Linked DNA regions of Sus scrofa. The protein of the gene in region 1 binds, or shares a complex with, the protein of each later gene. Links are inferred from orthologs where the notes say so. Each region holds a gene or a part of one and is shown in the gene's direction. Other genes may lie near its edges. The genes, in order: ZNRD1, POLR1B, POLR1E, POLR2F, UBTF, RRN3 and TAF1B.

Region 1 (4,008 bases):
TGAATACAAAGTAAAAAATAGAAGTAAAAAATATAACTTCTACAATTTATTTGAAAATCAGTCATGGGAGTTCCTGTTGTGGTGCAGCAGAAACAAATCCAACTAAGAACCATGAGGTTGCGGGTTTGATCCCTGGCCTCGATTAGTGGGTTAAGGATCTGGCCTTGCCCTGAGCTGTGGTGTAGGTCACAGACATGGCTCAGATCCTATGTTGCTGTGGCTGTGCCATAGGTGGGCAGCTGTAGCTCTGATTCAACCCCTAGCCTGGGAACCTTCATATCCTGTAAGTGCAGCCCTAAAAAGCAAAAAAAAGCAAAAACAAAAAACAAAACAAAACAAACAAACAAACAAACAAACAAAAGGAAAAACAAAAGAACAAAACGAAACATAGCTCAAGCAACAGCAAAGCCAGATCGTTAACCCACTGAGCGAGGCCAGAGATCGAACCCACAACCTCATCGTTTCTAGTCGGATTTGTTTCTGCTGTGCCACAACATGAACTCAAAATACAAAAAACATTTTGATGCTGAAATTTAAACATATAAAGAGTGGGAACTATGATTTTTAATCTACAAATACCATGATCTCTCTCTTTTTTCTTTTTAAGGCTGCACCTGTGGTATATGGAAGTTCCCAAGCTAGGGTCTGAATCAAAGCTGCAACTGTGATCTACACTATAGACAAGGCAACAGCCACCAAAGCACATGAGCCATACCGGGTCCTGCAGAGAGCCCTTGCTTGGGTCGCAAGGCCCAAAGAATGCTAGAATTACTCCCAGAATATTTCGCTTTGTTTTCTACCACTGTCCAACCGCCACAGTGAAGTGCAGATTCAGGAACCGCTGGAGTTTGCAGTTCTCCAGTCCAAATAAATAAATTAGTACTCTATAAGGTTGGTCCGACTTCTCAGGAGAAACGCTCCCCGCGACTGGGTCCTGGTAAAATTCGAGACCAATAAAATAAACATCCCAGGACTGAGTCCTGAAGGGAAAAAATAACCTGAGGCAGGCGCAGCTTCGTCACCTATTTTCGTATCCAACGTAACAGAACCAGGCTGAAGGGGGCGCCACAATCTTCCTTCAGAACCGCTCCTCTCCCTCTCCAGGCTCTCGGGATCACAGTTGCAATTAATTATGACGTCACAGCCAATCGAGAGCCGGGACGCGTGGACTCTCTAGCCCGCCACGCGCTCGCTGCTCGGTTGCCCGCGCGGAGCCGGCGCTCTAGCCCGTGAAGTTGACTTGCTCCTCTCGCCTGCCCCAGGAAAGACCCCCAGCGTAGTTGTACCCGACGCGGGATAGGGATTCCGGAAGTTTGGGCTCCTTAGTCACAGAGGCACAAGGTATGCGTAGGAAGAAATCTCGGGTTCTGCATGCTTACGTCCAGGGACAGAATAGGCATGACCTCTCTGGGGAAGGGGCTACTCTCTTAATAAACTCCTCATCCCCTTCCCAGCCCTCGACCACCCGTCTGTCATGGACCTCGCCCGCACATCCTCTAGCTTTCAGTCGGACTTGGATTTCTGTCCGGATTGCGGCTCGGTCCTGCCTCTGCCCGGGACTCAGGATGCGGTCATTTGTACTCGCTGTGGCTTCTCCATCAACGTGCGGGGTGAGGTGCTGCTACGCCGCGGCTGGGGCGGAGGAGGGCCCATGGGGATCTCAAGATCGATTGGATTAAAGACGGGGACCCGAAAGCGCAGGATCAGGCACTTATACTTTTGGTCGGCACGAAACCTGATGGGTAGAATATAGCTTCCTGGCCTAACAGAGAGGGATTAGTGTGGTGTCAGCCCCCTCCGCTGTCTCCACAACCAATTCTTACTGCCCGCGCAGACTTTGAGGGGAAGGTTGTGAAGACCTCAGTTGTGTTCCAGAAAGTGGGGACAGCCATGCCTATGTCGATGGAGGAAGGACCTGAGTTCCAGGGACCCGTGGTAAGTGAATCACGTCGAGGACTGGCCCTGTAAAGAGGGTGGGAACGAAACGGAGGGCTCAGATCTGGAGAGTTTTGTACACAACAGGGAAGAAGAGTCTTTAAAACAGTAGTGACTGGGGAGAGTTTTCTTGTGGTGCAGCCGGGTGTTAAGGATCTGGCCGGCATTGTCACTACAGCGGTTTAGGTCGCTTCTGTGGCACGGGTTCGATCCTCGGCCTGGAAACTTACACGTACTGCAGGTGCAGCAAAACAAAAACCAGCAGTATCTGAGGAGTGTGGTAGCTTGATGTCTGTGAGAAGTAGTGGGAATTATTAACCTACCAGTTGCTTCCCAGGTTGACAGGCGCTGTCCTCGTTGTGGTCATGAGGGAATGGCATACCACACCAGACAGATGCGCTCAGCCGATGAAGGGCAGACTGTCTTCTACACCTGTACCAACTGCAAGTGCGTATCCTTTCCCTCCATTCTGCCCCTTCTGGGTCTCTTTGCTGCCAAAATCCCGTGATTTAATTTAAATCCAGTGGTTTAATTTTTGTACTTTTTGGACTGGTCGCATCCTTCATTTCTGTACAGTTCAAGTAATAGGTTTGTGATCGTTTTCTTCCTTCCTTCCATCCTTTCTTTCTTTCTTCCTTCCTTTCTTTCTTTCTTTCTCTCTCTCTCTCTCTTTCTTTCTTTCTTCCTTCCTTCCTTCTTTCCTTCCTTCCTTCCCTCCCTCCTTCCTTCCTTCCTTCCTTCTTAGGGCTGCACCCCGTGGCATATGGAGATTCCCAGGCTAGGGGTCACATCCGAGCTGTAGCCTCTGGCCTCACCACAGCAACAGCAACGCCAGATCACAGCAACACCGGATCCCAGCTGCGTCCACAACTTACACCGCAGCTCACAACAATGCCAGAGCCTTAACCCACTGAGTGAGGCCAGGGATTGAACCACATGGTTCCTAGTCGGATTTGCTTGTGCTGCTGTGCCACGATGGGAAGTTCTGTGGTCTTTTTAAATTTTAAATAATTACTCTTTTCCTATCTTTTTATACCCAGTGAATTAAACCTTTTACAATAGTTAAAAGGAAATGAGTATTGGTTTGTGATCAGTGTGTTATGTTGGACTCCTCCACTGCCCTCAAGGTAGTTTTACTTTGGTGAGAGTCAGTCATGGATGATTTAAAAAACATGGGTTCTTTATTTTTATTTCTTTATTTTTTTTTGTCTTTTTGCCTTTTCTAGGGCCGCTTCCCGAGGCATATGGAGGTTCTCAGGCTAGGGTCTAATCAGAGCTGCAGCCGCTGGCCGACGCCACAGCCACAGCAATGTGGGATCCGAGCCAAGACTGCAACCTACACCACAGCTCACAGCAATGCCAGATCCTTAACCCACCGAGCAGCCAGGGATCGAACCCACAACCTCATGGTTTCTAGTCGGATTCGTTAACCACTGCACCACGACGAGAACTCCCAGAACATGGGTTCTTTAAAACATAGTTTTAAGAATTCCTCTTTGTCTTTGGTGTCCTTCAATTTCACTACAATCTATCAAGATGTGGCTTTCTTTTATTTATCCTGTTTGGGATGTGTTGGGCCTTCCAACAGTGAGGGTTGACCTTTTTTCCCCCATCAACCTTGGAAAATTATCAGCTGTTATCACACTGAATATTTCCCTCATATGCTCAGTTCTCATATTCTTAGAGTTCTAACTGATTAGCTCTTTATTAGGCCTTATCTTCTATCCTCCATTTCTCTCACCCTGTCTCCCATATTTTCCATCTCTTTTCTCTTTATGCTGTTTCTGGATAGATTTTTTAGTTCTGTTTGATTTTTTTGTGGCCATGCCGGCAACATGTGGATATTCCTGGGCCAGGGATCAAACCCTAGCCCCTGCAGTGACAGTGCTGGACTTTAACCCACTGCACCACAAGGGAAATCCTGATTATTTTTCAAATCATCTTAGTTATTTTTAATAATTCCCAATTCCTTAATCATATTTTAAGTGGTTCTTTTTATTCATAAAACATATTACATGTAAACATTAAACATGATATTTATGTTCTATGTCTGTTAATTCTCAAACCCACTGT
Region 2 (3,500 bases), on another chromosome or scaffold:
TTTAAGAATGAATTTCTGAGGAGTTCCCGTTGTGGCTCAGCGGTTAACGAATCCGACAAGGAACCATGAGGTTGCAGGTTCGATCCCTGGGCTTGCTCAGGGGATTAAGGATCCGGTGTTGCCGTGAGCTGTGGTGTAGGTCACAGACACGGCTCGGATCCCGCGTTGCTGTGGCTCTGGCGTAGGCTGGCGGCTACAGCTCCAATTGGACCCCTAGCCTGGGAACCTCCATATGCCGTGGGAGTGGCCCAAGAAATGGCAAAAAGACCAAAAAAAAAAAAAAAAGGAAAGAAAAAAAAATGAATTTCTGAGAGTTCCTATTGCAGCTTAGCAGTAATGAACCTACCTAGCCCATGAGGATGTCAGTTCAATCCCTGGCCTCTCTCAGTGGGTTAAGGATCCAGTGTTGCCGTGAGCCCTAGTGTAAGCTGGCAGCTTCAGCTCCAATTTGACCCCTAGCCTGGGAAATTCCATATGCCACAAGTGTGGCTCTAAAAAGCAAAAAAAAAAAAAAAAAAAAAAAATGAACTTCATCAAAGGCGGATTTCAGGTTACAAATTTTGATAGGTGGATGTTGGCCTAAAGGCTGTAGACAAGTTGTCTGTATAGCTTTATTCTATTTTTAATGGTCACATGCGTTTTCTATGCCTCCTTCTAGAAAACTAAAGACAGCTTAGCTCTGAGGAAAGGTTACCTAGGTGGGGAGTCTAGGAGGCTTGGTATACATGCCCTTCCCTAAACCAGTTACATCAGAATGACTGGAAAATTTTAAAAAATGGTTAGAGCCCAGAAATCTGCTTTTTTTTTAAAAAAAGAAAAAACTATGGGAGTTCCCTTCGTGGCTCAGTGGTTAACAAATCCGACTAGGAACCATGAGGTTGCAGGTTCAATCCCTGGTCTTGCTCAGTGGGTTAAGGATCCGGTGTTGCCGTGAGCTGTGGTTTAGGTTGCAGACTCAACTTGGATCCGGCGTTGCTGTTGTGTAGGCCGGTGTCTACAGCTCCAATTAGACCCCTAGCCTGGGAACCTCCATATGCTGCGGGTGCAGCCCTAGAAAAGACAAAAAAACAAAACAGTTCTTCTAATGCAGATTCTTTTTTTTTTTTTTTTTTTTTTTTTTTCTTTTTCTTTTTTTGGCCATGCCATATGGAGTTCCCAGGCTAAGGATCAGATCCCAGCCACAACTGTGGCAACGCCAGATCCTTAACCCACTGTGCTGGGCCGTGGAATCAAACCTGTGTCCCAGCGCTCCCAAGACACCACTGATCCCATTGCACCACAGCAGGAACTCCAGATGCAGGTTCATTAAGAGCTGACATGCTTGTGTGTCATCCAGCCTTCTGAGATGAGTCCCATTTAATTACTTGCTATTGTATTATTAATTTAATAAAGGAGAATGTGTAGAGGAGATGAGGAAAGAGTCAAGGCTAATACAAGTTGGTGAAATTTGGGGGTTTTTGCTATTTTTTGTAACCCCTTCTTCTACCAGAGCTGAGTAACCTCAGTAATAACCCACTTTGTGATCTTTAGGTTTGTGCTCTGAGGTTTTGTCATCTTTTCATCACCTCCAATACAAATTTTCGATGATTTTTGTTTTATGAAGGTCTTGGCTTCCTGCAGGATTCTGGACTCTGTGTCGTGGCTGACAAGCTGAACTTCATACGCTACCTCTCCCACTTCCGCTGTGTGCACAGAGGGGCTGATTTTGCCAAGATGCGGACGACCACGGTGCGCAGGCTGCTGCCAGAGTCCTGGGGCTTCCTCTGCCCCGTGCATACCCCTGATGGGGAGCCCTGTGGTCTGATGAACCACTTAACCGCCACGTGCGAGGTCGTCACCCAGTTCGTGTATACAGCCTCTATTCCAGCTTTGCTCTGCAGCTTGGGTAGGTGGGGCACAGCCATCAGCGGGCCTGTGTGCTTGTGGGGGTTTTAGCAGGTGCAAAGCTACTAAGTTGTGCTTCTGCGTGAGTTGAGCAGAGAATTCCTGCAGGGATGATGAGTGAAGCATTGGGGATAACCTGTGACATTTGGGGAAACACCTGCTGTCTTCAGAAGGTGTTTATGGCTCATGAAAGAGTGTTCTTAAAGTTCTTGGTAATTGCAATACTTCTGTAAAGTCACCATTGGCACTGAATTAGCAGATACTGAGGTACTGCTTCTGGGGGAACAGGGATTAGGTTCTTGCAAGTCTCTTGTCATAACACCTTCCTCACTTGATTGGTACATAGCCTTGTTTTGTGTTTCTGTTTAAAGATGCCTTAGTCAATATATATTGTTGATCCACTAACATCGAGCCCTCAGCCAACAGCACCATAACTCTGAGCTTATCTAACACAGTTTTCCAGCCTTGTGCTTGGGAGCCAGGACTTTATTTAGTACTGTGCTTGAAGGCCATTTTAAATAGCAAAGTCTCCAATGAAAAGCACAAAGATGCAAAAAATAAATAAATAGGGCCTGGGACAGACCATGGGAAGGATGTCTGTCTATAGTATTAGCTGAGACCGGCAAACTGCACGTCACCTCCTTTGACCTCAGCTGGGAATTCGTGTCTCAGACAACTCAAAATTTTCACTGAATGTCCTCTGGTGATCGGAAAAGTGCCACTAGTATGAAGCTGGGGTTGCAAATAAATTTTAGCAAGTAGGCAGATTTGTGTTGCGTGAATAATGCAGATCAATTATAATTAGATTTTTGGGGAGAAGTTGGTATGTTTACATGGCTCAGAAATAAAAAAGTGTATGGTAAAAAGCCTCCCTTACACCCCTGTCTGCAGGGTGCTCTCTAGGGGCAATTGCAGACACGCAATTTGGGGGGTCCTTGCTGAAATGATTTAGAAATTTACTCAAGAATACAAAAACATTCTGCTTTAGAGATAAGATGCCTAGATGTCTAAAATGGTGATGCCGACATTGAACCCATCTGGAGGGAATTTAAATGTTGGGGAAAGGAGCCTGAGGTGATGGTTCTGTGTGTTCGATTTCCCCAGGGGTCACTCCCGTGGACAGTGCACCACATCGGCGGTACAGCGAGTGCTACCCTGTCCTCCTGGATGGCGTCATGGTTGGCTGGGCAGACAAGGAGCTCGCTCCTAGCATCGCTGACTCCCTCCGACATTTTAAGGTGCTCTTGAGTTCTTGTGAGGTGTTTTGTCCCTCCATCTTAGCTGTTTGGTCTTTTTCTTGTTGTCAAGGAAGCCCCAGGGCCTTCTCCAGGGTCAAGGGCTCTAGAGGCCAGAAGCTGATCCCAAAAGTGCCTTTTACATTCTCTCTGGTGGCAGCCAGCATCTTACCTTATACTCACCTCATTGGTTGGGGTTAGTGACAGGTATTTAACCTGTACTACCCCCTTTTTTCTGTGGTGGTGGTTTTATTGAGGGCTCTGGTCCACTCACTAACACATTTTTAACTTTCTTTTTCTTTGTAAATATTAGTGGCGTATAGGGGACCCTAAAATACAGACTTTATATTTCAAGTAATATTAAAGATATGCCAGATACAA
Region 3 (4,155 bases), on another chromosome or scaffold:
TTTTGTCTGTAGGAAATACTATACATGGTCTTCAGGTGTGATGGGGCATCAGGTTGATAACTTACTCTAAAAAGTTCAGGGCCAGAAAATTTCTTTGCACTGTACTTGCAATTTTTCTGTAAGTTGAGATTTGGTAATTAGAAAAGACTTGCTCAGAAAAAGGAGAGCTCAGGTGTTATCTTTTTTTTTTTTTTTTTTTTGTCTTTTTGCCGTTTCTTGGGCCGCTCCAGTGGCATATGAAGGTTCCCAGGCTAGGGGTCTAATCGGAGTTGTAGCCACCGGCCTACGCCAGAGCCACAGCAACGCGGGATCCGAGCCGCGTCTGCAACCTACATCACAGCTCACGGCAACGCCGGATCCTTAACCCACTGAGCAAGGGCAGGGACGGAACCCGCAACCTCATGGTTCCTAGTCGGATTCGTTAACCACTGCGCCACGAAGGGAACTCCCAGGTGTTAATGTTTTTTAGATCATCTTGGAAGTACGTGCAGGGGGAGGGGAAGTCTCAAAAGAAGGCAATTTGGAAAACACAGATGAGTCAACCTGGTTCTTTCCCTTCAACAGTACCCTCCTTTGACTGAGAAAAACGGGTCCTAGCCTGGGCCCATGCTGAAAGATCTGCTTTAATCCTCCTTTTTGCCTAATAACTCCCCATGCGGTAGGGAGGGTTGAATCCGCGGGGACAAAGGACCATGCCTTCTGGTTCCCCCTTCTTGTCCACCCCAGAAGCTTTGAGTCTGCTGGGCCTCTCCCACTGGTCCATACTCTCAGAGTTGATTGAACCACAGGTGGTACTGTGCCAAGGTCCGAGAAGATGAGGTCATGTTACTGTTTACAGGATTGTGGATCACGTTTGGGCTTAAGGATTGATATCCAGGTGTGTGGATGGAGGTCCTGGAAAGCGGCCGGTCTCCGCCAGTCGCCACATTTAGTTAGCGTGCAAGGATTGCCTATCGAAAAATTCTAAATTTGAACTTGGACTTTCAGGCGTCAGTAAGACTTATTTGCCTCGGTGGTAGAGATAGACCATACCCTACCTAGACTCAGCCGCGAAGAAACCCGTCTATGCGCTAAAGCAAGACCTGAAGGTAGTGTGCTCCCTAGCGGCACACGACCTGTAAAGAGCAGGCCGAGTGCTGGGCCAATCACGTGTTGCGCCTTGCTGCGGAGGAAGGAGCGGGGCATAGGGAGCGCAGAGACCCCGCCTCTCCACGCGGAGGGGCGGGCGAAGAGTGAGAGGGGATGGCCCGCCTCAGAGCTCAGCGAGACAGCGCTTAGGGGCCGGGCCTGATGGGGGCGGAGCCACGCATCTCTGCGTGCGCAGGGCGGTGCCCGGAGAGGCCACGCCTCTTCCGCCCTGCCTTTTTTTTTTTTTTTTTTCCACCCGCGTGTACCTAGCGGACGCAGTTGTCTTAACTCCTGTGCTTGGCGGTAGAAGGGCGAGATGGCGGCGGAGGTGTTGCCGAGTGCAAGGTGGCTGTACTGTGGAGACCCCGAAGAGAGCCAGAGAGCTTTACTGGGTAAGGACTGCGGAGCCGGAGCAGAGCTCCCTGTAACTTCCTCCCTTTCTGTCTCGGTATCTACAGCCCTCGTCTTCCCTTACTGGTCCGTCCCCCTTCTCAGCTGGGCCAGATCCCTTCCAGGCTCTACTGCTACTTAGGGCTCGGCCAGGGTTCCTCTGTCATCTCACCGCGTTTCTGTCACCACCTTCCCGCTGAATGAGGCCTTACCAGTTACCCCTTCCCAGTACTCTAGACCCGGTCATCTCCTCACCCATCAAGTCTCAAACCTGCTCCATTTACTTTCCTCCATTGGGCAGAATTTTTCTTTATCTTTTTAGGTCTGGTCCAGGCCTCGTCAGTTAGTCCCATTTCCCCTAGTTATTCCCTCCCGTCGAAGCCCCTCTCTCCTCAGGCCTCCCCTTACCTTCCCATCCCCTCCCCATCCTCTTCCCACCTGGATCCGGATCTCCTTAAGCCCTCCTTTGGGGAGTTCCCATCATGGCTCAGTGGTTAACGAATCCGACTAGGAACCATGAGGTTGCGGGTTTGATTCCTGGCCTTGCTCATTGGGTTAAGGATCCGGCGTTGACGTGAGCTGTGGTGGTGGTCGGATCCCGCATTGCTGTGGTTCTGGCGTAGGCCGGTGGCTACTGCTCTGATTAGACCCCTAGCCTGGAAACCTCCATATGCCGCGAATTTGGCCCCAGAAAAGACAAAAAACAAACAAAAAACAAAAAAAAACCTCCTTTGGGCCAGGACCTGGGCCTCTTTGCCATCCCCATTCCTTCAGTCACTCCCTCTCATTGACTGTCTGTTTCCTCTGCATCATACTCTCTTGGTCCTTCTGCTCTCATGTCATTCCTGGGCTACAATCTTACAGTCCAGTTCTCCAATGGGAAGCTGCAGAATCCAGGCAACATGCGCTTCACCTTGTACAAGAGCAATGATTCCACAAACCCCAGGAAGAGGAGTCAGCGGATCCTGGTAAGTGCTGCAGTAGCTTGTTTTCTCCACTCTGCAGGCTTCAGGAGGCCCCTTGGGTGTGGAAGGGAGTGAGAGGAGAAAAGCAGGGGATAGCAGATTAGCCTTAAAGAACTTTGAGCCCCAGCAGGCTGGTGTGTGGGAGCAGGCTCCATTCAGTTTCACACTTATGGTGAAATGATAGCCCTTTATTCATTTGTTCATTCAGCAACCATCTATTGAACCCCCACTGTGGCTCTGGGCCGTAAGCAGCTAGGGAGACAACTAAGTCAGACATGGCCCCACCCGGAGGGAGCTCATAATCTAGAGCAGCATTTCTCAATCTCAGCACGACTGACCTTCTGACCCAGATAATTCTTTGTTGTGGGGACTGTTCTGCACATCCCTGGTGTTTAGCAGCTTCCCTGGTCTCTACCCAAATATACCTAGCACCTCCTCGTTGTGACAATAGCATGTCAGACATTCCCAGATGTCCCCATAGGGGTATTTCCCTGGGTTGAGAACCACTGATCTAGAGAAGTGAGAACTGGATGTAGGGGACACTTACACATAAGGAGACAAAGTTCAGGATTCCAGGGAGGGAGGGTACAGAGCAGGGCAAAGTGCGCTCTGCTTGCCAGAATGCCTTCTTGTGGCAGGATGCATTGGAGCCCTGAAGGATGGAGGAAGGTTTGACAGCTGAGGCTAATATTCCAAGTGAAGAGGACACCAAGGACAAACATGGGGAAGCAGGAAAACTTGGCTATGATTGAGGAGTATATTAGCCATTTCCATGGTCCTGGGAGCATGTAAGGAACAGTCATGGAAGAGGTGGCAAAGAGGTTCAAGAAGGGGTTAGACTTTGGGGTTGCCTGCAGGATCATTTTGTTGCATGCCTCTACGTGCTCAGCTACTCTCCCAAGCTCCACCAAGAACTTTCTGGCCTAGCTGGAAGCCAGCAATACCTGGGGCTTCCCTTTCAAAAATCCTTTTGCTTTTTCCCCAGGGACACCCAAAATTCACTTAAAGATAGTGGAGCTGGATCATCTCAAAGAGGCTCTCCCTGTTCTAATCTACTGTGGTTTGGAGTCTAAAGCTTCTGTATCTGAGGTTGCTCAGCTGTGGGAAGTCAAGATATTTATTATCTTTCAGCATTGGTTGTAATGGAACTTTCCCCCTCTCCATTTTAGGCAGCTGAAACAGACAGACTTTCCTATGTGGGAAACAATTTTGGGACTGGAGCCCTCAAATGCAACACTCTCTGCAGGTAGGGACAGGGTAAAGGGATTGCGGGGAGTAGAGGGTGGTGGCGGCAGCCCTGGCACTGCTCTTCTCTGCCTTTATTTTAGGGGCAATGGGGGAAATCTAGAGAGGTTTCTCAAGTTTCTGTGTTCCCAGACCCAGTGGCCTTCACACCAGCATGTAGACATTCCTGAAAATGAAAAGTGACTTAGATTTGTTTAATTTCCTAAAAATCTCATTTATTTACAATCTTGATGAGTTTTTTTAACTGAGAGCTAATTGACATATGACATTGGTTTCAGGTGTATAACAATGATTCAATATATGTACATATTGCAAAATGGCAACATGGTAAGTCTAGCTAACATCCATACTTAATTACAAAATTTTTTCAACCAGAAGTTTATACTTTTTGATCACCTTCATTAATTTTCACCACATCGTTAACTTA
Region 4 (4,019 bases), on another chromosome or scaffold:
TACAATTGCGAGCCAAAACAGGCACCGTGTCCTGATGGGAGTTCATGAACTAGAAGGGCAGATGGATGTTAATTCAACATGAATTCATAGGGACACACAAGGTATCTGACTACAGGTTACGCTAAGCCCAGTGAAGGAAAAGGCACTGGGAGTGTGTGGGCACCTAACGGTTGGTTGCACTGTGTTGGTGGTGGGTGGGGAGGAAATAAGGCTTCTCTGGAGAAATTGAAAGTGTGATATAGTATGTGTCACTGGGTCACCATGCTGTACAGTAGGAAAAAAAAAATTGTATTGGGGAAATAACAATTACAAAAAAAAAGAATAACCAAAAAAAAAAAAGTGTGATATAAGGGATGCATAGCAGTTAACTACTCTAAAATTCGTGAGTTCTTTGACTTTTGGCCACTTTCGAGTTGCAGGACCCCCAAACTTTCCTGAACCCCAGGCTTCTTATCTGAAAAATGAAAACAGCAATTGCAAGCCATAAGTCATGCAGGTGAGAACTGAGTTACAGAGGTTAACAGTGACTACCGCTCTCCTTTTGTCCTTTCATGCACTGACACCACCGCCCCGCCCCGCCCGACCACCACTGACCTCTGAGCAGCTCGCAGGTTCTTGGGGTGTAAGCGGCCGGCTTGGGGCAGCGCCAGAAGCCAGTTCCTTTGGTCACAGTCTCCACCCTCTCCTGGGAAGCCATGGGAGGGCTCTGAGGAGGGAAAAACGCGACGACACACCCCCTGTCTCCCATATACAACCTCTGCTTCCGCATCCCCAACACCACCCAAAGTTTGGGTCTGGCGGGGGCGGGGCCCGCAAGAGAATCGTGACGCCGCCCATCAATATCGCGACAGTGCCCAATCCTCCCACCCGGAACAGATCCACTGGCAGATACACACATGCGAACAGAGACCTCATCCAGACCCGGCGCCTGTGGCAGGGAAGCCACCTCTGGAGGAAAGGGGCGTTAGGGTAACCTTGCCCGTTGTGTGATAGACCCAAACGGAAACCTCACTCTTAGGTAAGACTCCGGCTGGGTGCCCACTGAGAGTGGCCGCTAGGCTCTGAAGGAGCACCCGCGCCGGAGCCCTGCAGGAATGCTTTTGAGATCTCCGCTGCTCAAGCTCTGGTTATACACTCTGGCTACCATGGTAACAAGCTCTAGCTTCTCGGCGCGTGCGCACTATCGCCCTGCCGATCCTCCCGGAAGCAATTGCCTCTAGGTCACAGCGCAGGCGCAGAGTGCGCGTGGCGCAGCTCGTGGCGGAGGCGCGCAGTTTGCGGGTCTCCGCGCGACTCTTAGCGCAGAACCAGGGAGCTGCGGCGCGGGCGTCATGTCTGACAACGAGGACAAGTGAGTGCGGGAGCAAAGTGAGCTTTGCCGAGCCTGGTCAAAGGAGGTTAAGGAGCCGTTAACCGAGGGGCAATGCGTGAGGGGACTGGGGGTATTGAGGGGCCCGCGGAGCTGAAGAAGGGAAAGGCGGGGGGACCAGGAGCTTAGACCTGGTCACAGGCTGGGCCAAGAAAAGCCCCAGTTTGAGGATCCGGAGAGAATCAGTGAACGTGGTATCTTTCCACAAACTTTCACGGAGTCGGGCTCTGTCTCTTGATTTGGAATTACTGAGGTGAATTAGGCATAGCTCCTGCTCTTCAGGTAGGGGGCCCTTTCTAGAAAAGGGGACAGGCCCACAGACGGATACTGCAGGGGTCGTGTGAATTGCACGAAGTATGTAAAAGAAACCCAGCGGAGGGTCTGGGGAGACTTGAGGTGGTAAAAGTCTGGGAGGCTTGCGGTAATCCAGGAAAAAAAAAGGAGTGACTTGTACTAGGTAATCGTAGTAGAGGTAGTGAGAAGTGGTTTTGATTTCTGGGTTTATTTTGAAGCTAGAACCGGAAAGATTCCCTGAATGTGTGGAGGAGAGACAAAAATAGAGGCGTCTTTAGCATAAGAGTATTAGTCAAAGCTAAGAGAGGGGGCGATCATGGGGAGGCGGCAGGGGGGTGGGTGGTCAGTAGAGAAGAGGAGATGAATGAGCGTCAGAGCATCCTAACTGTGGAGTGCCTGGAGGGAAGAGAAGCTGAGAAAGAGCCACTGTGAGGCGGGGGAACACCAAGACCGCGAGGTGTCCTTTTCTTTCTTTCTTTCTTGGTCGCCCTTGTGGCATCTGGAGTTCCTGGGCCTGGGATCAGGTCCGAGCCACAGTTGTGACCTATGGCACAGCTGCAGCAGTGCTGGATCCTTAACCCACTGTGCCGGGCCAGGGCTCGAACCTGTGTCCCAGTGCTCCAGAGATGCTGCCAGTCCTGTTGCGCCGCAGCGGGAACTCCAGTGGAGAGTGTTTTGAGTGAGAGGGAGTGATTCGGTGTGCCACCTGACAGATCAGGCTAAATGAGAACAAGAATAGACCAGTGGATTTAGCAACGTGCAAATCATTGATGAACTTGAAAGGAGTGGTTTTGGTGGAGCCAAGGAGCTGAAAGTCTTTGGGAGTGAGATGATGACAGAATGTGAGGAGAAGAATTGGAAATGGCGAAGATGGACGACTCTTTCATGAATTTTTCTCCCACAGGGGGGCATGGAAATAGGGCTCTGGAGGGAATAGAAAAGGAAGCTTTGGCGTTCCTGTCATGGCTCAGTGGTTAACGAATCTGACTAGGAACCATGAGGTTGCAGGTTTGATCCCTGGCCTTGCTCAGTGGGTTAAGGATCCGGCGTTGCCATGAGCTGTGGTGTAGGTCACAGATGCGGCTTGGCTCTGGCATTGCTGTGGCTCTGGTGTAGGCTGGTGGCTACAGCTCTGATTAAACTCCTAGCCTGGGAACTTCCACGTGCCGCGGGTGTGGCCCTAGAAAAGACAAAACCAAAAGAAAAGAAAAGGAAGCTTTGTTTTAGTAAGTTGAGGACATCAAATGACTTAATAAATTATTATTATAAAATGATTTACTCAGTAAGTGCATATTTATTGAGCACCTCCTGCTTATCAGATCTATGCCCTCTTTGATTCTTGTAAGTGATGCTCTGCTTTCTTCTTGTACAGTTTTGATGGCGATGACTTTGACGATGTGGAGGAGGACGAAGGGCTAGATGACTTGGAAAATGCCGAGGAGGTAAGTGTTTAGCCTTGGGCTCTCCTCTCGGCAGCCCAAGTTGCCAGATAGCCCGGCCAGTGATGACTGAATGCATCTGCTTCTTGTCTGTAGTGAGGCCAGTTAGAGTGAGGAGAGGTCTAGTCCTGGGTGGTGGAGGTGGCCCGCAGGGTGGGCCTGAAGGATTTTGTCCACTTGGACCACAGCCTGTAGCTTCTGGGGTGGTTAGTTTACTGACAGGTGAAATATCCCCTTCATTCATTGAGCAAACATGTGTTGAATGTTTATTGTGTACCAGGAGCGCTGCAGGGTGGGGCTACATAAAGAGCAAGGGGGAGAGTGACCTGGAATAAAGCTGGAGAGGTAAGGGCCAAGGTCAGGCAGGATGTTGTAGCCTGCAGGTGGTGGGAAGCCACGGACAAGTTTTGAGCTGGGGAGTGGCATGGTCCAGTTTACACTTTAAAGGAACACTTTGGGGAGTTCCCGTGGTGGCTCAGTGGTTGCAGGTTCGATCCCTGGCCTTGCTCAGTGGGTTAAGGAGCTGGCGTTGCTGTGAGCTGTGATAGTAGGTTGCAGATGCAGCTCGGATCCTGCCTTGCTGTGGCTCTGGCGTAGGCCGGCTGCTACAGCTCTGATTAGACCCCTAGCCTGGGAACCTCCATGTGTCGCAGGAACGGCCCTAGAAAAGGCAAAAAGGCAAAAAAAAAAAAAAAAAAAAGGAATACTTTGGGGAGGAGCAACAGTAGGAGAGGCCAATTCAGGAGCTCTCACGGACCTCCAGGTGAGACCTGTAGCTGGCACTTGGGTGCTGATACTGCTGGAGATGAGAAAACGGATGCAAGAGATATTTTGGTAGATTGGATGTGGGCTGAGAAAGTGGGAGATGCCGAGGAAGACGAGTTTCTGGTGAATGAGTTACTAGCTTCATGGCTAAA
Region 5 (3,500 bases), on another chromosome or scaffold:
TCGGTCTTGAGCCTCTAAGTTGTATTTTCCACACTCTGTTCCCTCGTGTTGGAGAGAAAGAAGGAGGCCCCTGTGTGTGGAAGTCTTCCTTTGGAGCTTCCCATCACCCAGAGTGTCTTCAGCAATGTCGGGGAATGGGAGAGAGATGAGGAACATGAAGGAGAGGGAGATGAGAGGGCTTGAGAAGGCTTTTGAGGTTTTTTATTATTGTTAAGGGGACAAGGGTTTTGGTGAGGCACACTGGCCAGAGAGGGTGTTTTGGTGGCTTGAGGTCTCAAGATATATAGCTCCACCCTACCTCACCTAGCACCCCAGCCCATAGGGCTCCAGTGTGTAAGGAGGCAGGGGATAGGATGAATCTGAGCCTCTGGCAATCCTTGTGAGACCTTGAGAAGACAGGTTCATGGGTTTCCGTGACCCCGTCCTGGAAACCCTGGCCCAGGTCACCAGATGTAAATGCAGGTGAAGAGCCCCTTTGACGCCTAGCTGTGCTCCCAGCCCCTTTGATGGCTGTGCTCCCAGCTCACCTTCCAGGCTGGCCATCCTCCAGAGGAGCCTCACTGGAACTGCATTTTTCAGTGGCTGGAAAAGGCTGGGCCAGACCCTGTTCTCTGCCTCTACGGGAAGTTGAGCTAGGAAGACAACGCAGAATTCCCGGGCTCTGGGGTTTCTTCGCTGGAGCAGGGCCCTGGGAGCCTTTGCCTGCGTTGCCTCACAGCTGCCCTATATTGGCTCTTTCAGTTGTTTACTCGCCCCACATTCTCCTTGGGTCTTCCTCAAGAGGGAGGGTAGGGTCATCACTCATGTTTCTCATGGTAGTTTCCAGCTGCGCTGGAGAGAAACATCTGCATGGGTTCTCCTTACTGCCCATACCGCTTGCTCAGTCTGCGCATTTAGAATCTTCACCTAGAACTTTGATCGAACTAAGCTTCATGTTTAGGTAGATGCGTGGCCTTCTTGCTTCCCCTCCCTCTGCAATAAGCTAGCTATTCTCCAGCAGGGTCCCAAGTCACCGTAGCTTCCCCCCGCCCCCTTCCGTCTAATAAATTGTGGCCCAGGGCAGGTAGCATGGTAGAAATGATAATAGCTCTGAAGGAAGCCAGACTTGAGTCCAAGGGTGATTTCTAGATGCGATGCTGTCCCGCCCGGAGTTCCCCCTTTAACCCAGGTGGCCGCAGCTCTTGCTTAGGGCCAGGTCGTGTCGTGTCTGTGCCTTCAGAGGGAAGAGAACCAGGGTCTGGGGTGCTCTGGCAAGGAAGGGTTGCTTAAGGACTGGGGAGCAGCTGGGGGCTAGCATGAGCGCAGCGTGATGGGCGTTCCGACCCTTCCCCAGACCGCTGGTCCCAGGAAGACATGCTGACTTTGCTGGAATGCATGAAGAACAACCTTCCATCCAATGACAGCTCCAAGTTCAAAACCACTGAGTCGCATATGGACTGGGAAAAAGTAGCCTTTAAAGACTTTTCGGGAGACATGTGCAAGCTCAAATGGGTGGAGATCTCTAACGAGGTAACTGATCCCCCCCTTCCTGACACATCTGAGCACACATCCACCCATACCTTTGCCTCAGCCTTCCTGGTGGGAGAGATGAAACAGAAGTCTATAAACAGGAAGGAAAGAGACCAGGCGAGGTGCTCGCGTGGTCGCCCTTGTGCATTTCGGGAGGTGGCACGGTTGACAGCCCTGGCCAAGACTTCTCAGTTCTGCCACTTTCTAGCTGTGTGGCCTTGAATACTTACCGTCTTGGAGCGTCTGTCGTCTGAGCTGTTCTGGGGATTGAATGAGGTGCTGGCACGGACAACCATTCCGAGGTCAGGTGGTCACCTTTTTGCTGTCCTGTGGTGTGTTCTGACTGCCTGGGCCTCTGCAGGAAGCACGGGCCAGGGCCTGGGTGTCGGCCTGGGTGTCCGGGCCGCCTGAGCAGTGTGGCTGTTGGCCTCTGCCCCTCCTCCTCTGGTAACTTCAGCCTAGTGGAACGTAGAGAAGGCTCGTGGGGAAAACGAGGGTCGGCGCCTGCGTGGTGGTCCCCTCCTGGGACCGTCCCCTTCTGCTCACCTCCCTTCTTCCCCCAGGTGAGGAAGTTCCGAACGTTGACAGAGTTGATCCTCGATGCTCAGGAACATGTTAAAAATCCCTACAAAGGCAAAAAACTCAAGGTGAGTTTCCAGGAGGAGGAGCGCCAGGGCTCGGAGAGGCCAGGTCTAAAGATCGGATGGCGTCTGACCTTCGCCGTGTCCTTGTCCCTCCTTCCAGAAACATCCGGACTTTCCAAAGAAGCCCCTGACCCCTTATTTCCGCTTCTTCATGGAGAAGCGGGCCAAGTACGCAAAACTCCACCCTGAGATGAGCAACCTGGACCTGACCAAGATTCTGTCCAAGAAATACAAGGAGCTGCCCGAGAAGAAGAAGGTGGGGGGAGGGCAAAGGCCGGGAGCAGTCGGCGTGGCGTGGGTCATCTGTTGGGGGGCCAAGGGCTTAGACCAAGGGACCTGGCGTCAGGGGCGCGAGGGGGTCAGCAGAGCAGAATAGGGCCTCGGGTGGCCACCCCTGATCGCCCTCCCTGGCCCCACACCGTCCGTGCCACCCGGACCGAGGCGGGCGCTCGGTTTAGCCGCGGGCAGCCCGTGGTGGTGTTTCACACGAGTCCTCACTGTTAGGCCCGCACAGCCCTTCACGCCTGACATTTTCCCAACACGGTCTCGTTTGCTGCTCGTAAAGGTCACTCTGGGAGACTGGATGATCCCGATTTTGCAGGCAAGGAACTAGGGTGCTGGAGTTATCAGGTCCCAGTCAGCGAGGCTAGAGCAGGACTCCGGTTTAGTGCTCAGGCTCCCTGTCTACTGCTCTTTGCGTTGCCACATCCACAGGTTGGATGGGCTTCCCTGCCCTTGCACACCTTGTGCCCTGGGGCCTCGTGCTGTCCTAGACCGTTGGGGCTGTGACCCTTGGGTGGAGGTTGCCCCAGCCTGCCAGGCAGGGTGGACACAGTCCACACAGCAGGTCTCCCAGTCCCTCGCAGAGGCAGGAGCTCAGCACCTGCAGTGGGGACACACAGGAGATGCTGTCCAGTGGGTCGGAGCCAGGGAGAGACACTGGTGAGGGGCAGTGAGAGAGGCAGGAAGGCCCATTTGCTGGGAGAGGAGACAGTTGCACGCGGCCACCTCTCAGGAGGGCACCAGCGCTTAGCCCTTTTCCTGGTTTGTGCGCTCTGGCTGCCGGCTCAGGCGCTGGTTCTGTACCCCAAAAAAGGAGCCAGCTGGGCTGGGTAAATCCAGCTGTCGGCAGCTGCTGCCTGAGCCGAGCCGGAGTGTGAGCGGCTGGAGCCATTCTTGACCCCTGTGATGGGGACATCCCAGAGCTGACTGTACACACGCCACCCAGGCATCCTCAGGGGATGGGAGGGATAGGCCGGGGGTTTCAGGACCAAGAAGGGACAGAAGAGACCACGTTGTTGAGTGGACAGGGCGCCAGCCTAGGGGACATAAGCCTTGGGCCTGTTC
Region 6 (4,218 bases), on another chromosome or scaffold:
GCATATGGAGTTTCATGGGCTAGGGGGTCTCATCGGAGCTGTAGCCACCGGCTTACGTCAGAACCACAACAACTCGGGATCCGAGCCGCACCTGTGACCTACACCACAACTCATGGCAATGCCAGATCCTTAACCCACTGAGCAAGGGCAGGGATTGAACTTGCAACCTCATGGTTTCTAGTCGGATTAACATACATTCTTTTGTACATCTAAGACTTTTTTAAAAATAAAAGATTAAAGTAATTGTCAAATTGCTGGAGAGTACAGTTAAACTACTGACTGAGAGTGCAAAGAACTGTGAGGTTTTTCGTTTGTTTGTTTTCCCCTCTGCTTTGGGGGCGGAGGAGAGCGAGTCCCACTTAAACAGCTCTCTTGAACATCTCTGTGAGCAGGGTGCAATTTCCTCTGCTCTTGGGACGTTGATGACTTCTGCCCAGTGTTTCGCAGGAATTCTATAAAGTAGTGAGGGAAGAAATGGTTGGGGACAGCCAAAAGACAGTTACTGATTTTAGTTTATTCAATAATGTTTATTTTTTTCCACCATAGATATTTAGTCACTGATTTTACACCTTTGCAAAAACAGAACAGCGCTTTACATTTAACAAATTGCTGTAGCTGGTTTAATGTCCTTTTGATATAATTCTATACAGTTTCCAAAGGTTGCAACATTTTTCCTTCTTAGAAACTGAGAGGGGAGGACTAAGGGGAGGGGCAGTCCATCTTTCCTTCTGCCTCCTTCTCACCCACCCTTCTTTGGCACCTGCTGTTCCCTATGCCTGTAAGACCCTTTCCTGCTTTTATGGTCTGGCCAACTCCGTGCCTCCTTTAAAAATTTAAGTTCAAGGGCTAATGTCTTTTGGAAACTGTCTCCTCTCACTCTTTGATTTCTCATCCCAGCATCACGATAAGCTCTGAGGTATAGGGGTAAGCCGCTTCGTCAAGCCTGTCTCCGCGAGGATAAGATTAGTTTGGGCGTCTGTGAGGGTAGCCAGCAGGTAACGGGAAGCAGCTTCCTGTGGATCGAGCCGACTCGTTCCAACCCTGGACGGCACCATCTCTTTGCGGGTTTGAGTTAATCACGGGTCCTTGGGTTCTTCAGTTTGACTGACGGATGTTTTGACTCCAAAAGCTTAATACCTAGCCACGGCTTAGCACTTGCCGGTGTCCCCGCCCCTTCTCTGGGACCCTGGAGGCTGGATTGTGCCGCCCTACGAATCCCTCCCCTACTTGTACAGGAGGCGCCCTCAGCGCAACACCTCGCTAGGCAGAGAAAGTCCTCCAGGCAGAAGGAGGGGCCCGATGCAGGGCTTGGAGGAGACCGCATTGGTGGCGCTCTAGCTCGCCGAGCTCACTCAGCGCTCCCCAGTTGCGGTTCCTGATTGGCTGACGGCCGCAGCTCTCACGCGAGTCTTCCTGGACGGAGGCGGTCTTAGAAGAAACAAGACTTCCGGCGCAGGTTGCAATCGTCGCGCTTGTCCGGCCCGATGGCGGCCCCGCTGCTTCACACGCGGTTTCCCGGAGATGCTGCCACCTCGGCCTCCGCAGTCAAGACCTTGGGCGCGTCTAGAACAGGGTGAGAATCCGGGGCGCTTGCTCTTACGCGTCTGGGACCAAAGCCTAGGACCGGGATTAGGGGAGCAATCCGAAGGGTCCGAAAAGGAGTGGGGGGTGGGAACAGAGGGAACAGGGTCAGTTCAGTTTCTCAATAGGGAGCCCATGTCCCTTAGGTGGGTAATAAAGGTGGGAGAGGGGCTGGAAATATGAACTTATTTTCTGTTCCAGAGTTCCTTTTGCTCCTCCCTGGACTCCCTCTTACTGGGCTCGCTCAATAGCGTCCCAGGCCTGGGTACGGCATTCTACCCTTTTACTCGTTCCACCTGCTTCTTGGACTAGATTTTTTTTTTTTTTTTTTTTTTTTTGGTCCGCACTTGCGACTTGTAGAAGTTCCCAGGCCAGGGATCGAACCCGTGCCATACTGTGACCTGAGCCACAGCAGTGACAGCGCCGGATCCTTAACCCGCTGAGCCAAGAGGGAACTTCCTTGGTTAGATTTAGATTTAGTCCCTGGGTTATATGGATTATCAGCTGAATGCCATCACTAATGGCATACTGCCTTTTATTTTTTTTTTAGTTTTTTTGAAATTTTTAATTTAATTTTATTTTTTGTCTTTTTTAGGGCCGCACCCACAGCATATGGAGGTTCCCAGTCTAGAGGTCGAATTAGAGCTGCAGCCTCTGGCCTATGCCACAGCCACAGCCATGTCAGATCTGAGCCGCATCTGCGGTCTAGAACTCTCTGCAATGCTGGATCCTTAACCCACTGAGTTAAGGAGGCCAGGGATCAGCCTGCGTCATCATGCATACTAGTCAGATTCGTTTTGGTTGAGCAGCAATGGGAACCCCTGAAATTTGTTTTGACACACTTTTGTTTAACAGTGTTTATCCTAGTCAACTTTTAAAGTCCCTGATCCTGGTGAAACACTGTGGGGTTTAACTTTGAGAGTCACTAGCAAGATACTATGTTTTTCACTAATCTACTGTGTTTAAAAGAAACAAACTTACATTCGGCATAGCATCATTCATGATATTTCTTAAGTGCCTGCTTTCTGTATTAGACATGGGGGATCGTAGTCAATCAAAAGAGACAGTGTCCCTGCTCTCAGCAGAGCTTACAGTGTGAGGAAGGGAAGACAAAAAATAAATGAACAGGATGATTTCAGATACTGGAAACTTCTGTGAAGAAATAAAACAGGATGATGGTAGGGGAGAAAGAAAGGATGAGTACTTTAGAATTCTGATGGGGAAGCCCTCTCTGACATTTGAGCTTCAACTTGAGTGAAGACAGGGGTCCCACCAGGTTCATATCTGGAAAATGAGTGTCTCTGATAGAAGTAATGATAAGTAAAATGGTAATCTGCTTGGTGAGTTTGAAGAACAGAAAAGACTCTGGCTGCAGTAAGTGTTTGGAGATGAAGTTAGAGAGGTAGGCAGGGGCCAGATTAATGTTGGACCTCAAAGCCCCCAGTAAAGAGTGTAGACTTTTTATTCTGAGTGAAGTAGGAAACCTTTGGAGAATTTAAGCAGGAGAGTTGGATAGCTTGATCTGTCTTTTTGAAAGATCTTTAGATCACTGAATGAGGAATTGTTGGGGGACTCAAGGAGAGGCAGGGAGGCCAGTTAGGGGACTTCAGCAGTAGTCCCCCCGGATGATGATGGTCCAGTAAATGTTGGTTATTATATATTTTATTGTTCCCTGTCAAGCACTTTAATGGCTTGATAATCTTCATTCTATAGGCTTTCAGATATGCTTGCACTAGAGAATGATTTCTTCATTTCTCCCCCAAGAAAAACCGTTCGGTTTGGTGGAACTGTGACAGAAGTGTTGCTGAAATACAAAAAGGTAAGAGGGGATAATGTGAGGTTTGGTGAGTTTTTTCCTCACCTTTATTGAATTAAAATTGACATATTGAGGTTTTATTTTTGCTAGTCAGATTACAGCTATAGCTATAATCTGATAGACAGGACAGATAAGATGAATTTGATATCAATATTGAAATCAGATATTTCACAGCAGCTTGGTGCTGTCAGCTCAGAGAGTAGTAACCCCTTTGCTGTTACAGATCTTTAAATGCTTTCTTTGTATAGTATCTTTTTAAAACTTTGGCAAGAGGTAGAATTAAAAAATCATTAGATCAGGGCATTTTATTTCTTAAGGAGTTACCTAAGCATTGCTTTGGGCCACAAACCAGCTTTGTTGATGAGGGTTTTGGTTTTGGTTTGTTTTTGCATCAGTTTAGAAGTGATTCTACTGTATGTCAGCAATGGAGGGAAAATAATCAGGACTATGTATTTTTATATGCAACTTGCATATATATCTCTATGTAGCATATTCACTTTCATATTTAAATGTCAGTACACAAGTACACCTAAAGATAAATTGCATTTGAGTTGTCATTTTCTTTTTTTCTAGCCCACTAGCTTCACTAACATAAGTTTTAAAATTTTCGTAGTCAGGATTTGTAATTCCAGTTGATGTATGAATGTTACAATGTTCTTTTTATATGTGTGTTTATCTTGTTAGAATCTAGGATCTTTTTTTTCCCCAATACATTTTATTGGAGAATAGTTGACTTAGAAAGTTGTGTTAGTTTCAGGTGTATGGTAAAGTAAATCACTTATACAGATACATATATCACGATGCATTTTTTTGTAATAGTT
Region 7 (4,036 bases), on another chromosome or scaffold:
AGCCATGTCTGAGACCTGAACCCACTGAGATCAGGGATCAAACCTGCATCCTCTCGACACTGTGTCAGGTTCTTAACCTGCTGAGCCACAGTGGGAACTCTATCCACCTCATTTTCTAGTCTCCCTTTAGCTCATGGTTCCGGCCACTCACTGACCTCCTTGCTGACCCTTAAATGACAGCCATGAGGCTCAGGTCCAGGGCCTGGGTACTTACTGTTCCCTCCTCCTGGAAGGACAGTCCCAACATGGCTCTGGCTTCCTTGCCTCAAAGGTCACCTTCTCAGGGAGACCTTTCTTGCCGCTCCATTTAAAATCAAAACCACCTTACAGCGCCCTTTCCTTTCCTGCTTTATTTTTCTCCTTGGCACTCATGCCCATTTAACATACTGGGTACTTTATTTGTGTTTCTCTCTCCCCATCAGAATATGATCTCCATGAAGGCAGGAACTTTTGTTTACTTTGCTCACTGCTGAATCCCCAGAACCTAAAACAGTGCCTGGTTGATGAACAAACCAAGAAATGAATGGCCAATGAAGGGACAACAATAAAGCTAAATTTAATGAGCATTTACCATCTGAAGCTCATTTAGAGGAGAGTCACAGGGAATAACTAATTTTACAGCGGAGAAAACTGGGGCACAACGAGGCAGAAAAGCCGTGATTAGAAACCCAGGTTTAACTCAAAAACCTGTTTCTTTCTTCCAGAACCTGGTGTTTCTCCTGTGCTGTCAAAAGCCAGAACGAAGTGAAGAGCCGGGTCCACGCGTGGGAACGCGGGGGAGCCGGATTGAATGAGAGCGGCCTGGGATGAAAGGCTGTCTGAACAAAGAAGGGAGTGGGAGGGATCGGGAGCTTGGGGTGATCGGATGCAAACTATTGCTCTTGGAATGGATTTACAATGAGATCCTGCTGTGTAGCACTGAGAACTATGTCTAGATACTTACATCGCAACACGACAATGGGAGGAAAAATTATGTATACATGGATGTGTAACTTGGTCCCCATGCTGTACAGTGGAAAAAATAAATAAAATTTTAGAAAGAGAGAGAGAATGGATCCGCTCAGCTCCATGGATCAGCTCCGTCGGCGCCGCCCACTTTTTTACTGATGGGCTTTAGTTACTTGGACTAGAACAGGGATGCTGTCTGGGAGGGTGATGCAGGATTAGCGGAGCTTCAGCCTGGAGCTGGCCGAGCCTTCCCGGAGCCGCACGAGCCGGAAGCTCAAAACCAGGGTCTGGGTTTCTGCCCGGAGGGCTTTTCCGGCCGCTCCCGGAAGCCGCGCTCGCTGCCCGGGTAACGGGCCCCGCGGCGGAGTCGGCGGCGCCCGCGCCGCTATGGACCTGGAGGAGGCGGTGAGAAAGCCGTGTGCTGCGCTGGCCGGCCGAGCGGCGGGGCGGGAAGGGAGGGAGGCTGAGAAGGGGCCGGAGGAGGCCGGCTGGCTGTGCGGGAGGCCCCTGGCCAGAGGCGGGCGGGGCGGGGAAAGGGATGGGGCTGGCGGGCCACGAGGGCGCGTGTTTGTTTGGGAAAGAGGCCGGAGTTTCTTGCTCGGCGAGATTTTGGGTGAAGCGGGGGTGGGGCGTTAGTCGACGTGGGTGTGTTTCGGGAGAAGGATGGAGTTGTAGGTTTTGGGGGGTGGCCACCCACGTGGCTCATCCTCTGGAGACGGGACCACCCACAGTTCTCCTTGATGCTGGAGGCTGGGCGAGGGGGGCTGGGGTTGGAACCCGCTCGCCCCCAAGGAACACCTGCGGGTCCCTGGGAATCCTCGCCACGGTCTGGTACAAGGATTCCAAATACGGGTTTGGGGGCGCTCAGAGGTTATGGTAGTTATCAACCTGGGGGGTCACTGAAAACTTGACCAACTTGTCGAAAGAAATTTGGCATGCGTCTTGACACACTACCTAAAATGTCACTCTGACGGTATTAAAAAAAATTCGGTCTTTGGATCAACGGTAATAAGACTTCAGACACCAAAGAGTTGGGAATCAGTTTGGTGCCAGTCTATATATGTACAGCAGCATTATGGTGATAGAAGGTCTTACTCATTGTAGCTGCTCAATCAGTGTTTTTTGAATGATGAATAGTTAACGTTTATAAACATTAGTTAATGAGATTAACAAGTAGAACTCACCCTTAGCCTGTATGGCTATGAGTAGAGATTATAGCTCTGTTTTGATGAATCCCCAGCACCTCGTTAAGTGCCCACTACATACGGAGTTGGTACTCCTTAGATTCCCGAATGAACAAATCGAAACTTGAAATAACCCTAATAAAACTCTGGCTCCTTTGTGGTATTTGCTCTTAGTATCCTGGAGGAAGTTTAAAATGATACGCTATTTCTATTTTTTAAGTCTTCTCTGTCCTTAAATCTCGGCAACTCTTTCCTCACAGCAGTTTCAAGGAGTTTTGTTCACCTTTTTTTCCTTCTCTTCACCTCTACCACCCTTTTTTTTTTTTTCTCCCTCCCCCTGCGTATTTTAGAAACATTTCTCTAATGGTTCAATCCGGTTTCAAACTGCTCAGACGAAATGCCTGTTCTTCTTGATTATAAATCTCTCTGGTATATTTTCTGTTTTGGATGATTCTTTATTTATAGAGTAAAAGGGCCAGGAGTCCTCTCAGTAGAACTGCAGGATTTAGGAATGATGTATTGAATGTGGTTTTCTTCTCCTACAGAAAGAGTTCAAAGAACGATGTACTCAGTGTGCTGCTGTGTCTTGGGGACTTACTGATGAAGGCAAATATTATTGTACTTCTTGCCACAATGTTACAGAAGTAAGTAACAGATCTCACTTATGAATTTGTTTGTGCTTTAAAAAGTGCAGTTTCAGGAGTTCCCATTGTGACTCAGTGGAAAGGAATCTGACTAGTATCCAGGAGAACGCAGGTTCAGTCCCTGGCCTCGCTTGGTGGGTTAAGGATGCGGTGTTGCCATGATGTGGCTCAGATCTATTATTGCTGTGGCGGTGGTGCAGGCCAGAGGCTACAGCTCTGATTCGACCCCTAGTCTGCGAACCTCCATATGTCTTGGGTGCGGCCCTACAAAGACACAATAAAAAATGAAAAAATGAAAATTGCAGTTTCAGCCTAATAATGTGGCATAGTTATTTTTATCACTCAGACAATGCCCAAATTCCAAGAATGTAAGCAATCCTCAAGTGCTTACACAAGGATTAAAGAATTTGTAAAGTAGATTTAGGATGAGCTTTTGAAATTACATTGGGCCATATATATGAATATTTTCCCGATCCATACTGTATAGTAAGGGGAAATAATTAAAATTGCACCTAAATGATACATTTCTTTTTATTAGTTAGTACTTCTTTAAGAGTTCGTAATGCGTTGTTTGGAGATGGAATCTTAGAAAGATTAAGGACTATTGGAAGTGTTGGAAACATGCTTCGTCATCATTATACCCTTGTGCAGTGCCTTACTCAGTAAGTTGTGTTTTCTTGTCTGTTGATCCGTTTCCTCCTCTGGATAACCTGTGAGCTACACTGTTAATGCCCGTGTCCGTAGGTGGGGCGAGTAGGCTTGTCCGTCAATGCCAACCTCACGTAAATAGAAACTGTTGAGTAAGTACCTGAACGAGGGCTTCCAACTCCAGTGTTCATTTTAGTCACCGTATCTGCCTCGTAAGACAGAGATTGGTTGCACCAGTTTACATGCCCACCAAGAGTGTGGGAGCGTTCCCTGTTCTCCACACCCTTTCCAGCATGTATTGTTGGCAGACTTGTGGTGATGGCCATTGACTGGTGTGAGGTGATACCTCATTGGAGTTTTCACCTGCATTTCTCTAATAATTAGTGATGTTGAGCATCCTTTCATGTGTTTTTTGGCCATCTGTCTGTCTTCTTTGGAGAAATGTCTGTTTAGGTCTTCTGCCATTTTTTGATTGGGTTTTCTGTTTGTTTGAGGTAAAGCTCCAGGAGATGTTTGTCTGATTGAGAGATTTATCCCTTAGGGGTCACTTTGTTTGCAAAGATTTTCTTCTGTTCTGTGGGTTATTAGAGACAATCATGCTGAGAGAAGTAA

The links.
Region 2: ZNRD1 (region 1) and POLR1B share a complex: the UniProt entries of both Homo sapiens proteins name them as parts of the pol I pre-initiation complex. The link is inferred for Sus scrofa from reciprocal best matches to the Homo sapiens genes POLR1H and POLR1B.
Region 3: ZNRD1 (region 1) and POLR1E share a complex: the UniProt entries of both Homo sapiens proteins name them as parts of the RNA polymerase I (Pol I) complex. The link is inferred for Sus scrofa from reciprocal best matches to the Homo sapiens genes POLR1H and POLR1E.
Region 4: ZNRD1 (region 1) and POLR2F share a complex: the UniProt entries of both Homo sapiens proteins name them as parts of the pol I pre-initiation complex. The link is inferred for Sus scrofa from reciprocal best matches to the Homo sapiens genes POLR1H and POLR2F.
Region 5: ZNRD1 (region 1) and UBTF share a complex: the UniProt entries of both Homo sapiens proteins name them as parts of the pol I pre-initiation complex. The link is inferred for Sus scrofa from reciprocal best matches to the Homo sapiens genes POLR1H and UBTF.
Region 6: ZNRD1 (region 1) and RRN3 share a complex: the UniProt entries of both Homo sapiens proteins name them as parts of the pol I pre-initiation complex. The link is inferred for Sus scrofa from reciprocal best matches to the Homo sapiens genes POLR1H and RRN3.
Region 7: ZNRD1 (region 1) and TAF1B share a complex: the UniProt entries of both Homo sapiens proteins name them as parts of the pol I pre-initiation complex. The link is inferred for Sus scrofa from reciprocal best matches to the Homo sapiens genes POLR1H and TAF1B.

What each region holds. Positions count from the first base shown.
Region 1 is NC_010449.5:22,625,663-22,629,670, forward strand, and holds the start of ZNRD1 (DNA-directed RNA polymerase I subunit RPA12), read left to right. Parts: upstream 1-1,208; 5' UTR 1,209-1,341; intron 1,342-1,454; 5' UTR 1,455-1,474; coding exon 1,475-1,610; intron 1,611-1,834; coding exon 1,835-1,935; intron 1,936-2,272; coding exon 2,273-2,382; intron 2,383-4,008. UniProt on the Homo sapiens protein: Core component of RNA polymerase I (Pol I), a DNA-dependent RNA polymerase which synthesizes ribosomal RNA precursors using the four ribonucleoside triphosphates as substrates. Can mediate Pol I proofreading of the nascent RNA transcript.
Region 2 is NC_010445.4:43,957,284-43,960,783, reverse strand, and holds part of POLR1B (DNA-directed RNA polymerase I subunit RPA2), read left to right. Parts: intron 1-1,603; coding exon 1,604-1,885; intron 1,886-2,988; coding exon 2,989-3,122; intron 3,123-3,500. UniProt on the Homo sapiens protein: Catalytic core component of RNA polymerase I (Pol I), a DNA-dependent RNA polymerase which synthesizes ribosomal RNA precursors using the four ribonucleoside triphosphates as substrates.
Region 3 is NC_010443.5:238,196,304-238,200,458, forward strand, and holds the start of POLR1E (DNA-directed RNA polymerase I subunit RPA49), read left to right. Parts: upstream 1-1,355; 5' UTR 1,356-1,444; coding exon 1,445-1,520; intron 1,521-2,382; coding exon 2,383-2,486; intron 2,487-3,652; coding exon 3,653-3,729; intron 3,730-4,155. UniProt on the Homo sapiens protein: Component of RNA polymerase I (Pol I), a DNA-dependent RNA polymerase which synthesizes ribosomal RNA precursors using the four ribonucleoside triphosphates as substrates.
Region 4 is NC_010447.5:9,914,922-9,918,940, reverse strand, and holds the start of POLR2F (DNA-directed RNA polymerases I, II, and III subunit RPABC2), read left to right. Parts: upstream 1-1,219; 5' UTR 1,220-1,331; coding exon 1,332-1,351; intron 1,352-3,035; coding exon 3,036-3,105; intron 3,106-4,019. Other genes in the region: C5H22orf23 (UPF0193 protein EVG1), read right to left, coding at 595-898. UniProt on the Homo sapiens protein: DNA-dependent RNA polymerase catalyzes the transcription of DNA into RNA using the four ribonucleoside triphosphates as substrates.
Region 5 is NC_010454.4:18,993,515-18,997,014, forward strand, and holds part of UBTF (nucleolar transcription factor 1), read left to right. Parts: intron 1-1,333; coding exon 1,334-1,509; intron 1,510-1,526; exon of another isoform or gene 1,527-1,811; intron 1,812-2,072; coding exon 2,073-2,156; intron 2,157-2,253; coding exon 2,254-2,409; intron 2,410-3,500. UniProt on the Homo sapiens protein: Recognizes the ribosomal RNA gene promoter and activates transcription mediated by RNA polymerase I (Pol I) through cooperative interactions with the transcription factor SL1/TIF-IB complex.
Region 6 is NC_010445.4:7,569,191-7,573,408, reverse strand, and holds the start of RRN3 (RNA polymerase I-specific transcription initiation factor RRN3), read left to right. Parts: upstream 1-1,418; 5' UTR 1,419-1,484; coding exon 1,485-1,573; intron 1,574-3,294; coding exon 3,295-3,400; intron 3,401-4,218. UniProt on the Homo sapiens protein: Required for efficient transcription initiation by RNA polymerase I (Pol I). Required for the formation of the competent pre-initiation complex (PIC).
Region 7 is NC_010445.4:126,583,524-126,587,559, reverse strand, and holds the start of TAF1B (TATA box-binding protein-associated factor RNA polymerase I subunit B), read left to right. Parts: upstream 1-1,236; 5' UTR 1,237-1,335; coding exon 1,336-1,353; intron 1,354-2,677; coding exon 2,678-2,776; intron 2,777-3,314; exon of another isoform or gene 3,315-3,438; intron 3,439-3,444; exon of another isoform or gene 3,445-3,576; intron 3,577-4,036. UniProt on the Homo sapiens protein: Component of RNA polymerase I core factor complex that acts as a GTF2B/TFIIB-like factor and plays a key role in multiple steps during transcription initiation such as pre-initiation complex (PIC) assembly and postpolymerase recruitment events in polymerase I (Pol I) transcription.